Ovis aries: one gene and its partners. The protein of the gene in region 2 interacts with the protein of the main gene of each other region in a biochemical or structural test. Links are inferred from orthologs where the notes say so. Each region holds a gene or a part of one and is shown on either strand. Other genes may lie near its edges.

Evidence for each region.
Region 1: the proteins of MAGI3 (region 2) and ADRB1 interact in a test that uses a peptide from one of them, tested with the Homo sapiens proteins (2 studies listed by IntAct, with this or other methods). The link is inferred for Ovis aries from reciprocal best matches to the Homo sapiens genes MAGI3 and ADRB1.
Region 3: the proteins of MAGI3 (region 2) and CRHR1 form a complex in vitro, tested with the Homo sapiens proteins (2 studies listed by BioGRID and IntAct, with this or other methods). The link is inferred for Ovis aries from reciprocal best matches to the Homo sapiens genes MAGI3 and CRHR1.

What each region holds. Positions count from the first base shown.
Region 1 is NC_056075.1:34,061,209-34,065,596, reverse strand, and holds ADRB1 (beta-1 adrenergic receptor), read right to left. Parts: upstream 2,927-4,388; 5' UTR 2,812-2,926; coding exon 1,267-2,811; 3' UTR 178-1,266; downstream 1-177. UniProt on the Homo sapiens protein: Beta-adrenergic receptors mediate the catecholamine-induced activation of adenylate cyclase through the action of G proteins. This receptor binds epinephrine and norepinephrine with approximately equal affinity.
Region 2 is NC_056054.1:90,959,862-90,963,487, reverse strand, and holds part of MAGI3 (membrane-associated guanylate kinase, WW and PDZ domain-containing protein 3), read right to left. Parts: intron 285-3,626; coding exon 92-284; intron 1-91.
Region 3 is NC_056064.1:45,528,638-45,532,861, forward strand, and holds the start of CRHR1 (corticotropin-releasing factor receptor 1), read left to right. Parts: upstream 1-1,318; 5' UTR 1,319-1,589; coding exon 1,590-1,622; intron 1,623-4,224.

The DNA of each region.
Region 1 (4,388 bases), on a different chromosome or scaffold from region 2:
TTACACACAAGTGCTAAATTTCACCAGCAGATTCACGTGTGCCCTTGGACATAAAAAAATAATAAAAAAAATCCTTAAGATAATTTTTTATAATATGGATACAGTACCATGATAAAAGAGTATAAAAAGGTATTTTCCAATAAATTGCTAGCTCAATAACATAACAGACAACAGAGATAGAATCTGAATTTTATTTTAGTTTTTAAGATCTGCCCCACCCCACTCCCATTAAAAAATATTTCATTTCTTTTTGTGCAAATAACATTTTCTGTGGACTTTACAGTTCCTAATACTGTGCAAAAAAAATGCCACTTTGAATCACGGCTTTTTTGTTTTGATTTTTTGTCTATACCACATGTGCAGTAATCTGAATTGTTTTCCTTTTTTCTTTTTCCTTTTTCTGTCCTGTCTTCAATGGACAGAGTCACATGTCACGAAGGCTCAGCGCCTGGTCCTTCCAACTAGTATTGATACATAAATAAGCTGTTTAATATAAACAAGTCTCTCTATCTGGCCGTGCAATGTGCACCGTGTGAGTGAGGTAGGAACCCCTCAGCCTGACCACCGAGGAGGCGTTCAGGGACAGCCCGCTTGCCCTCCGAAAGGGAAGCAAGGTGAGGCTTGTTCCAAGAAGAGCATAAAACTTCCTGAAACGCGATTTTTGCATCCATCCTTGCCCTCGGCTTTCAGAACAGGAGAAATAATTCCTCAGAAATTAAAATGGAATTTCTCTGAAAAGCAAAAGGAAACAACGTCCTGATAAAGTGTCATTCTCTCTCCTCTCTCTCTGGCTGACCGCTTCTGTTCCCAGGAATGGGATGGAAACTAAGTCGAGAGACTTTTACCTCCTAACGCTTCCCCCTTCCCTTCCCAGTCATCGCAGAAAGTGTTAAAAGCCACGTGGCGGGGGGGCGGGGGGAGGAGGGACTCTAAAGATGCATCACACGCACACACAGAAGGCTGGACCAGAAACAGGAAAAAGAACCCCAAGAACAATCAGTAAGCCACTCTTCCACCCCTCCCCAAACTTCTCCCACCTCTCCCCAAACTTTCCTTTCTGTGCGACGGTCCGTGGCTTTCCTATTTGCCCTTGGATGATGCAGACGAGGTTCGCAGGCTTCGAGTTCACCTGCTTTCGGTCTCGAGTAAACACAGACCTCTTTCCCGGGGAAGCGGTTCAGGGGCGCCCGGGTTCTCTTGCTCCTGGAGCGCACAGCCCGCGCCCGGACTGGGGAAGCCGGGGAAGGCGGGGAGGGGCGCCCGGCCCTACACCTTGGATTCCGAGGCGCAGCCCGGGCGGCTTGGCTCGTCCGGGCTCGAGTCGCTGTTCGCCGCCGCCCCGCCGTTGTAGCCAGCCCAGGGCTGCAGCAGGCGCACGGGCGGCGCGGCCCCGACGTCGTCTTCGTCGTCGTCGTCGTCGTCGTCCGAGGCGGCCCCGGGAGACGGCGACGGCCGGGCCACCGCCAGGCAGCCCGCGGCGCGCGGCGGGTCCCCGGCGGCCCCGTGGCTCCCGCAGGCGGCCCGGCGCGCGCAGCAGAGCAGGCGCTGGAAGGCCTTGCGGAAGTCGGGGCTGCGGCAGTAGATGATGGGGTTGAAGGCCGAGTTGGCGTAGCCCAGCCAGTTGAAGAAGACGAAGAGGCGGTCGGGCACCAGGTCGCGGTGGAAGGCCTTCACCACGTTGGCCAGGAAGAAGGGCAGCCAGCAGAGCGTGAACACGCCCATGATGATGCCCAGCGTCTTGAGGGCCTTCTGCTCGCGCAGGGCCACGAGGCGCGAGGGCCGCCGCTTGTTGGCGCGCCCGTTGGCCACCGCGGCGGCAGGGAGCGGCGGCCCGGGCGAGGGCGCGGGCGAGGGCAGCCGCGCGGGGCCGCTGAGGAAGCGGCGCTCGCAGCTGTCGATCTTCTTCACCTGCTTCTGGGCCTCGCGGAACACCCGCAGGTACACGAAGGCCATGATGCACAGGGGCACGTAGAAGGAGACGACGGAAGAGGTGATCGCGTAGCCCTCGTTGATGATGAAGTCGCAGCACTCGGGGTCGTTGTAGCACCGGCTCGCCTTGGCGTCCTTGTCCCGCCACCACTGCATGAAGATGGGCAGGAAGGACACCAGCGCCGAGATGGCCCACACGGTGCACACGAGGGCCCGCGCCCGCGCGCGGGTCAGCAGGCTCTGGTAGCGGAAGGGCGACGTGATGGCGAGGTAGCGGTCCAGGGCGATGACACACAGGGTCTCGATGCTGGCCGTCACGCACAGCACGTCCACCGAGGTCCAGAGCTCGCAGAAGAAGGAGCCATACTCCCAGCGGCCCCACACCACGATTGTGGCTCCAAACGGCACTACCAGCAGACCCATGACCAGGTCTGCGCTGGCCAGCGACATGATGAAGAGGTTGGTGAGCGTCTGCAGCCGCGGAGTCTTGGCGATGGCCACGATCACCAGCACGTTGCCCGCCACGATGAGCAGCACAATGAATGCCATCAGCAGGCCCATGCCGACCGTCCACTGCTGCGACAGCAGCGGGGGTCCCTCGCTGGCCGAGGTCAGCAGCGAGGCGGGCGGCGACGCGGGAACTAGCAGCCGCGCCGCCGTGGCCGCGCCGTCGGGGACCGGCGCGGCCGATGACAGGTTGCAGGGCTCGGAGGCGCCCAGGGCGAGCGCCCCCGCGCCCATGCCGAGCTGCGGAGGCCGGGGGAGAGGGGTGTGGCGGAGTTGGGCCGCGGTTGGGGAACCCCCCCAGAGGCCCGAACGGCGGGGCGCGCGGAGGGAGGTCGCGGCCAGGTCAGCGCAGCCGCGGCGCGGGGCCGGAGGCATGGGCGCCGGGCGCCTTCCCCGCCGGAGCCGTGCGCTGTCGCCGCCGCCGCCGCCGCCGCTGCTGCTGGAGCCGCTGTCGCTGCTGGAACAGCTGCCGGGACCTCAGCATGTTTCTGAGCTCGCGGAGCCCGCAGCCCCGGCACCCAGCACCCACCCCACCCGGCTCCCACTCCCCCGAGCCAACCCCCGGGGCCTCGCGTCAGGCTCCTGCAGCCAATCCTGGCGAAGGCACGCCCCTCTCTGGTTCCCCCCCACCCCCACCCGGCCCCGCCAACTCCTAGCACCCCGCCTCCACCGGCGGTTCTGCGGCTCTAGGGAGTCCGGGGCAGATCGCCAAGCAAGCCCCTCCCCAGCGCTCGCGGGTTCCTGCCCGCGCGTCCCTTCCAGAGCCCGCTTGGCTCCAGTGCCCAGTTCCCCTCGGTTCCCAGTCGCGCCCGGCTTCCACCCTGCCCCCTCCCGCGGCCCCCAATCTCCCCTCTCCTGCGCCCTGTTTGCCTCCGGCGTTTGCTTTCCGCTGCGCCCCGGCTCTACCCGCCGCCACCCATCCCATCTACCTCCAGTGCCCAGGTTTCCTGCAGAGCAGAGCTCACGCGCCCTTTAGCAGGAAGGGGACTTCGGTGTTCTCGAAACACCGGAGCGCCTTGGACGGTCTGTTCGCTGGGGGTGGAGGAGTCTGGCTGCAAGACTGTTTCTTGTATTGGGCAGCCTAGGAGGGTGTGTGTAAAGCCCTTCCTCTGTCAAGAGGAGTCCCAGCCAGCTCGCGTCCTGCCAGCTCGGGGATCGGATCGGAGGCGGGTGTGAGCGGTTAGAAGAAACTTTCCAGCGAGCGCCTTGCTAAAGCAGAGCGCGCATCTGTCAGGAACGCTCCCCGGGAGCTATTCTTGCAAGAAGCTTCTGTCGTTCCAGGGCAGCAGATGCAGAAAGCAAAGGAAGGTTTGTGCAGCTGACAGCTAATGCTGAGGACCAGTTGGAAAAATACACACTCCCAGGTCCCAGCTGATGGATGTGTGAGTATGGTGCAACGGTGTGTGCCGGTAATGTAAAGAGAGAGAGAGGCTTAAGGACAGGCATGTTAGAGTAAATGACACCGCCACGGAAGCTAGAACACGTTTAATTACTTTTCAGACTTTTCATGTTCAGTAATAACACCTGGATTTTGTGTTCTGTTACTCACGTGATTGTATGACTTGAGCTGGGTCAGTGCAAACAAAAAAGGTACATTGGCTTTGGGTGACACAGTAGTGAACTGAGATTTCAAATTTCTTGGTCTGCTGCGTTGCCTTCTCCTTTGCCCAAGTTCCCAGATTCTCAAAACTCTAGGATTAATTTTGGAGGGATGAGAGAAGAAAACATATATAAATACTCAAAAAGATTAAAATCCAATAGCATGTAAAGTTATATCAAAGGCTGTTGGGTTGGCAACTGAATGGGTTTAAAATTAGTGAGTCATTAGCTCTGCAGTGGTGTGACTATATGTGGGGAGGTACCTACAGGAAGGTGGCCCATCAACACACAATGTAGCCAAAGGTGTGCAAGCCCCTTGTCTAATTCCACCACAGTACTGGTCCTCAACTCAG
Region 2 (3,626 bases):
AATAAAATGATCTGAAAAAAAAAAAAAGGTGGCCTAAATCTCATTTTTCTTTTTCAACTTATCAGAGCAAGAACAGGTTCACTTCACGTACCACCGTAGAAGATCTTCCTTCTGACAGTTAATAACACGTGGCCATTTCGAGCAGCGGCTGTCATTAGGTCTAGGACTTGTTTGTGTGATTTCCCTTTAACAGGGATTCCATCAATGCACATCAGCTCATCAGCTGCACGGAGCCGACCATCTTTCTCAGCTGCGCCCAGAGGAATGATGGCTCCAATGTATATCTGATAAGATATAAAGTGTGGGTTGCTCTATATGGTCTACTAAGACTTACTAAAATTCTTAACTACTAAGTCAAGGACTTTCTGACTCAAAACTCAAAACTATGCATACCAACAAATTTTTGCAGTTCAACCTGAAAACAGTCATAGAAATTGACCTGTCTCCAAAATGGCACTTCAAATAACCACACCATGTAATCTCTTCTGGATTCTTTGGGTTGGGCACAAGGAAGACAGGAAATACAAAGTAATTCAATAACTTAGAAAGTACCACTATCACTTCCATCACTACAACAGAATAAAAATATTAAACTCAGAAAATGCAATTCTGTGGAGTAGCTACTAAAAGTAAAGTCCATTGAATGTCATGGTGAAAGTTTTTTTTTTTTTTTTTTGTATATTGTTCATAGCAACTGGGATAATTCTTACAATACTCCTACTACATGAGGCTATCAGTTCAAGTTTAGTATACACAAAAGAGAAATATTTGTTGTTCCTAAATTCTAAAGCAGTATATATTTTAAGGGAACAGAGTGACCGAAGATTCACTTGCAACTAGGTGAACAAATCTTGCTCATTTTCTTTGCCGGCAATTAGAATCCTATAATTGGTAATCCTAAGTATTTGGATTAGGTCCAGAGCTGTTATAACCTGACATTTAAGAGAAGATAAAGTGTAAACATTTCCTCTAAGATCAGGAGCAAGACAAAAATGCCCACTCTCAATACTTTTATTCAACATACTTTTGGAAGTCCTAGCTATAGCAATCAGATGAGAAAAAGAAATAAAAGGAAGACAAATTGGTAAGAAAGAAGTAAAACTCACTGTTTGCAGATGATGTGACTATATGCGGAAAATCCTAAAGACATCACCAGAAAATTCCTAGAGTTCATCAATGATTTTGCTAAAGTTGCAGGATACAAAAAAATCTACAGAAATTTGTAGTATTTCTATATACTAAATTAAGGAAATAATCCTATTTACCACTGCATCAAAAAGAATAAAATACCTAGAAATAAACCTACTTAACAAGGTAAAAGACCTGTACTTGGAAAACTATAGTTCACTAATGAAAGAAATTAAAGATTACACAATCAGCTGGAAAGACATATCATGTTATTGCGCTGGAAGAATTAACATTGGTAAAATGACCATGTTACCCAAGGCAATCTACAGATTCAATGCAATCCCTATCAAACTGCCAAGGGATTTTTCACAGAACTAGAACAAAAAAAAATGTAAAATCTGTATGGAAACAGAAAAAAACACAAATAGCCAAAACAATCTTGAGAAAGAAGAAGAGAGCTAGAGGAATCGCTTTCTGTTTTTTTTTTTTTTTTGAGGAATCACTTTCTTGACTTCAGACTATAATACATAGCTACGGTAATCAAAACAATATGGTACTGGTACAAAAAGGAATATATAAATCAATGCAACAGAATAGAGAGCACAGAAATAAACCCACACACTTATGGTCAAGTAATCTATAACACAGGAGGCAAGAACATACAATGGAGAAAAGACAGCCGTTTCAATAAGTGGTGCTGGGACAACTGGATAGTTACATAAAAAGAATGAAGGTTAGAACATTCTCTAATACCATATACAAAAATAAATTCAAAATGGATTAAAGACCTAATTGTAGGACTAGATACTTTCTGACATGAATTGTAGCAACATATTTTTGGATCTGTCTCCTAGAATAATGACAATAAGGACAAAAATAAATGGGACATAAATAAACTTAAAAGCTTTTTTCATGGCAAATGAACCATAAACAAAATAAAGACAACTCTCAGAATGGGAGAAAATGTTTGGAAACAAAGCGACTGAAAAGGGTTTAATCTTCAAAATATATAAACAGCTCATGGAGCTTAATTAAATATATTCATATCAAAAAATGGGTAGAAGATCTAAATAGACATTTCTCCAAAGAAGACATACAGATGGCCAAGAGGCATATGAAAAGATGCTCAACATTACTTATTATCAGAGAGATGCAAATCAAAACTACAATGAGGTATCACCTCACACTGGTCCAGATGGCCATTATCAAGAAATCTACAAACAATAAATGCTGAAGAGGATGTGGAGAAAAGGGACCCCGCCCCTCACTGTTGGTGGAAATGCAAACTGGTACAGCCACTATGGAGAACAGTATGGAAAAGTTCCTTCAAAAATTAAAAACAGAGCTCTCATATGATCCAGCAATCCCACTCCTGGGCATAAACCTGAAAAAAAAACAAACCCCACAACTCAAAAAGACGCATGCACCCCGATGAATACTGTATCACTATTTACAACAGCCAGGACAAGGAAGCAACCTAAATGTCTGTCGACAGACAAATGCATAAAGAAGCTGTGGTAAATATATACACTGGAATATTACTCAGCCATAAAAAGTGAAACACTGCCATTTGCAGCAACATGAATGGCCCTGAAGACTGTCATCCTGAATGAAGTCAGTCAGACAGAGAAGGACTGATACCACATGACACTGCGTATGTGTGGAATGGAAAGAACATGGTACAAATGAACTTACTGACAAGACAGAAATGCGTGCATGTGTGTTCAGTCCTGTGATTGTATCTGACTCTTTGAAACCCCACAGACCATAGCCCACCAGGCTCCTCTGTCCACGGGATTTTCCTGGTAAGAATACTGGAGTGGGTTACCATGCCCTCCTCTAGAGGATCTTCCCGACCCAAGAACTGAACCTGTGTCTCCTGCACTGCAAGCGGATTCATTACTGCCAAGCCATCAGGGAAGCCAATGATACAGAAAATAAACATACTGTTACTGGGGGAAAGGGGAAGAGGATAAATTGAGAAATTGGGATTGACATATACACACTACTATCCACTCAACACTCTGTAGTGCCCAATATGGTAAAAGAACTTTAAAAAGAGTAGGTTTTAGAAAAGGCAGAGGAACCAGAGATCAAATTGCCAACATCCACTGGATCATGGAAAAAGCAAGAGAGTTCCAGAAAAACATCTATTTCTGCTTTATTGACTATGCCAAAGCCTTTGACTATGTGGATCACAATAAACTGTGGAAAATTCTGAAAGAGATGGGAATACCAGACCACCTGATCTGCCTCTCGAGAAACCTGTATGCAGGTCAGGAAGCAACAGTTAGAACTGGACATGGAACAACAGACTGGTTCCAAATAGGAAAAGGAGTACATCAAGGCTGTATATTGTCACCCTGCTTATTTAACTTATATGCAGAGTACATCAGGAGAAACGCTGGGCTGGAAGAAGCACAAGCTGGAATCAAGATTACCGGGAGAAATATCAATAACCTCAGATATGCAGATGACACCACCCTTATGGCAGAAAG
Region 3 (4,224 bases), on a different chromosome or scaffold from region 2:
CTCAGCTTCCTCACAAGGCATCTTACAATAACTCCCTGTCTAAATGAAGAAGCAGTGGACCCATGAATGTGCTGAGAAGTGGGTGGAAGGAAGGAGGCGGGTGGGCGCGGCAGTGCACAGAATCTCCAGGGAGGTTAGATTCTGAGTTGGGTTGCAAAGTCAGCGGACCACCATTCTGGGAGTGTGGTCCACCCTGGGTGCTCAGGGTTCCTGGTGAGGGGTTGCTCCTGGCGCTGCAGGAGGAGGATCTGCGGGGTAGTTACATTTTTTTACTCGCCTTTCGGCTCTGGTGGAAGGAAGGAAGACATTGAAGTCAAAAGTTCTGTCCATCTGGAAGAGCCGCTGGAGGGGAAAGTCTTTAGGGGCTGGAGAAGTCGGGAGCTGCTTCCCAATGCTTGGGGGCGGGATGGGGAGCTAGGGAGCCAAGGTGGATGGGGGCCAGGAGGTCTGGCGGGGCGGCTGACCCTACCCTGAGCGCTCGGCCGAGAGGGGGCGCTGTGGCCTACTCCTCGCCCAGTCCACTGGATTCCCAGCCGCTATCCCCTGCAGCGCAATGCGCGCTCGGCTTTCCCCCTCCTCCGCGGTCAGAGGGCGGCTAGTCCTGCCCGGCACCGCCATCTCGCCTGCTCTTGGGGTTCCTAGGTTCACCTCCTTGCCGGGACCAAACTGGGCAGGCGCTTAGTTAGTAGAATGAATTTACAAACGAATGAATGAATGAGAAGGGTTCCTCCCTCAGAGCTGTCACACCTCAGCGCGCTCCTGGCGTGTCAGTGCCAAAGGCGCGGGGATCTGGCCCTCGCCCCGCTGAGGTGGGGGCGGCGGGGACTTTCTCCCCGCCCCGCGGCAGGGAGAGAACTGCCCGAACGCAGCGCCCAGCTTCACCCGGCTTCCGCGGCGGCACTGCTCAGTCCGGGCTGCCCTATTCCCCAGCCTCCAATCGCTTCTCTCTTGTAGATTGACCTGGGCCCCCCCAGGACCCCCTCAGACTCTCCTGGACTCCTCGGGCCCCAACCTGAAAGCCGGCGGAAGGAGGGAAGCTGCCTCCTCTCCCCCCCCCCCCCCCCACCTCCCCAGCTTCTCCCCGGGCTGCGGCGGCCGCCAGCGCTGCCAGTGCGCCCCGCCGATTGCCGCAAACCCGGCTCGAGGAAAGGGGGTCAGCGCCGTTAGGGCGCGGGGAGCCGCCCCCGGAACGAGCCGGGGCGGAGGAGGCGGGCCGGGGGAGGGAGCGGAGGGGCGAGGCGCTGAGGCGGGAGCGGAGGGGAGGGCAGAGGAAAGGAGGGGAGGGGACGCCCAGGCGAGGGGGCGGGGAGCCGCGGCGAGTGTCGGCGCGGACCGAGGGGGAGACGGCGGGGGCGAGGCTGGCTCCCGGCGGGCGAGAGGCGGCCGCGGGCCGGGCTGAGTCCGGAAGCGGCGGCTGGACTTGCCCGGGAAGAGGAGAGCGAGAGCCCTCCGGGCCGGGCTGCGGGGCCGGGGAGCGCGGAGCCGGGCACCTCCGCCACCGGCGGCGACACAGAAGCCGCCCGAGCCCGCCCCCGCCGGGATGTCCCGGGGACCCAGGCTTCCAGCGCGGTGACCGAGCGAGCCCGAGGATGGGACGGCGCCCGCAGCTCCGGCTTGTCAAGGTAAGAGCGAGCCAGTCCGCCCTCGAGCACCGGGGGCCCCCAGTTCCGGGCGCAGTGGGCAGTGGGTGTGAAGCGGACGGTGTGATTGGGTGTCACTGAGCAGAACTGTGCCCAGGTCCGGGGGCGGCCGGGGTGTGAGGGGCAGGCCAGCTCCCTCTTCTTGGACCTCTGGAGCCGGCGTTGAGCGGTAAGGGGAGAACTCAGGTGAAAAAAAAAAAGAAAAAAGAAATCATTGTGGCGAAGCTTCGGGAATGTTGGCTGGTGTTGGGGGGTGGGAGTCGGGGGGGTCCGCCCACCCCGGCAACCAGCTCTGCGAGGGAAATCGCTCTAGGCTTTGGGAACCGACTCAGGGTTCCTCTTCCCACCCGTCCCGTGTAGACCGGGGTCCCGGGACAGGAAGCTCGGGAGGGGACAGAGGGTTCCCCATCTGCCCCAGCGCGCCCCCGCCCTGTTCCTGGGAGCTCCTTCCTGCCCCTGAAAGTCCGGGGAGATAAATGTCCCCCGCGCCTGCGAGCCCTGGATCAATATCGCAATCTCCGGAGAGCCAACCGAGCATCCGGCGGTAGTTACCGTTCCGCCGCCGCCGTCGCCGCCGCCGCCGGCCCGCCGGCGGGATCGCAGCGCTCGCTCTCCGGTCCTTTGCACTCGCGGTTTCCTGTGCCTGCCCGCTCCTGTCTGGGTTCTGGCGACGCGATTCCTGCGCCCGGAGTTTAGGAAGGTCTCCAGATCTCACGTCCGGACAGATCTCACGTCTGTCCACTGAAGTTCGGGGGTGACGAGGGCTCCCCCTGGGCCCCGGGGAAGGTCTTGAGGGTCGACACCCCGGCCTGCAGCTAGTGACAGCCGCCACTTGCAGGTGCCAGGCGATTCCCAAAGCGGTTCGCCTTGCGGGGGTAGGCGCGCAAGCAGCAGCCGGAGAGAGGGGTGGGTGGGCCTCGGCGGGCTCTCGCCTGAGGATCCCGACTCCGCAGGGTCAGAGTGGACAGCGTGAGCAGACAGCGGCTTGATGGGATTCAGCGCATTTAAAAAGCGATTACACTCAAAAGAATGGATTTGGGGGAGGGGTGCGGATTGACTGATTTCCATTTTTCCATCAGTTATTAAACCAGCTGTACGTATGTAGCACACAAAGTGATTTGAGTTAAACCACCAAGGTTTAAAAATGCAACTGCTGCCTGGTCATCAATTGAGACGTTGTTAATTACCTAGGTTTCCTCTATTCTCTTTGTCCCTCTCCCGAATAGTTATGTTAGTTTTTTTAAAAGTGAGTAAAGGTTGGTCTGATTAAACCCATATCCCCTCCCCCACGCCTTAACTGGGATTAGGGGTGAACCCATAATTTATTTTGGGTGATCAGGGAGACCCAGGGAGGGAAGCTGGGGGAAAAACATCCAGAGAGCTTGAATAGATGGCACTGAATGGGAATATTTTCCCAAAGGCTAGTGTGTACCAAACCTGGGTCTAAATTTACAAAACAGAAAAAATTCAACGTTTCAAACAGATTCGAAGGATTGAACTGTAGGTTTTTGTTTTTAAGTTTACATGGTAATAGGTAAATGTTCTTTCTCTGGACTTTGTTTGAATCGTGTGCAGATTTCTGCTTAGAATTATGCTTTTCTAAAAGAAAAAAAATTTCTCTTATTGTTGTCGTTGCGTGTTTGTGTGTGTGTATGCTTCCTGCTAGGTCGTCGGATGTGTGTCCTTTATGTCTGGCCTAATGAGCTCAGTAGGTGCTCAGTAAAGGCACTGAATGAGTAAGATGCAGTGAATGAATGGTCAGCTAATGCAGTTTCATTTAAATAATTACTTTCTTCTTTTATTTATATGGCATATACAACTTGTTGGGTAGTATTCTACCTGCTTTACGAATATTAAGTCATACTGTCCTCCTAACAGCTCCGGGAAGGTGAAATTATTCCTGAGCACAGAGAGGCTCTGTAACTTGCTCAAGGTCATGCAGCCAGTGAATGGTGGAGCCAGAATTCAAACTCAGGCACTTGAACTCTAAGACTTTCTTTTGTTAGCTTTTACCAGAAAATATTTGAAGCTGCTAAAACCTCCTTGACTTCTGCCAGATGGGAGATAACTCAGGCAGTTTTGTCAGTATGAACTTCTGAACCTAGGTGAGTGGTGGTGGGTGCTGATTTAGTCACTACGTTGTGTCTGACTCTTGTAACCCCGTGGACTGTACCCCGCCAAGCTCCTCTGTCCATGGGATTTCCCAGGCAAGAAATACTGGAGTGTGTTGCCGCTTCCATCCCCAGGGGATCTTCCTGACCCAGGGATCGAACCCACGTCTCCTGCATTGGCAGGCAGATTCTTTACCGCTGAGCCACCAGGGAAACCCGAATCTAGGTGGGTTTCATCCAATATGTGGCTCTGACCCTCAACAAGTCAGCCAGTATCAGGAAAGGTGGGAAGGATCCGCTCTGGGGCCCCTGTTGTGGGCATCACACTGAACTGATTACAGAGAACTGGGGGAGAGTGTGTGCACGTGTGCGTGAGTGAGAATGTGTGTGTGCATGGGAGGGGCCTTGTATATGTCAGTGAAGGAAAGAGGATGAGCATGAATCTGTGTGGATGCCAAGGGGACAGGTAAAAT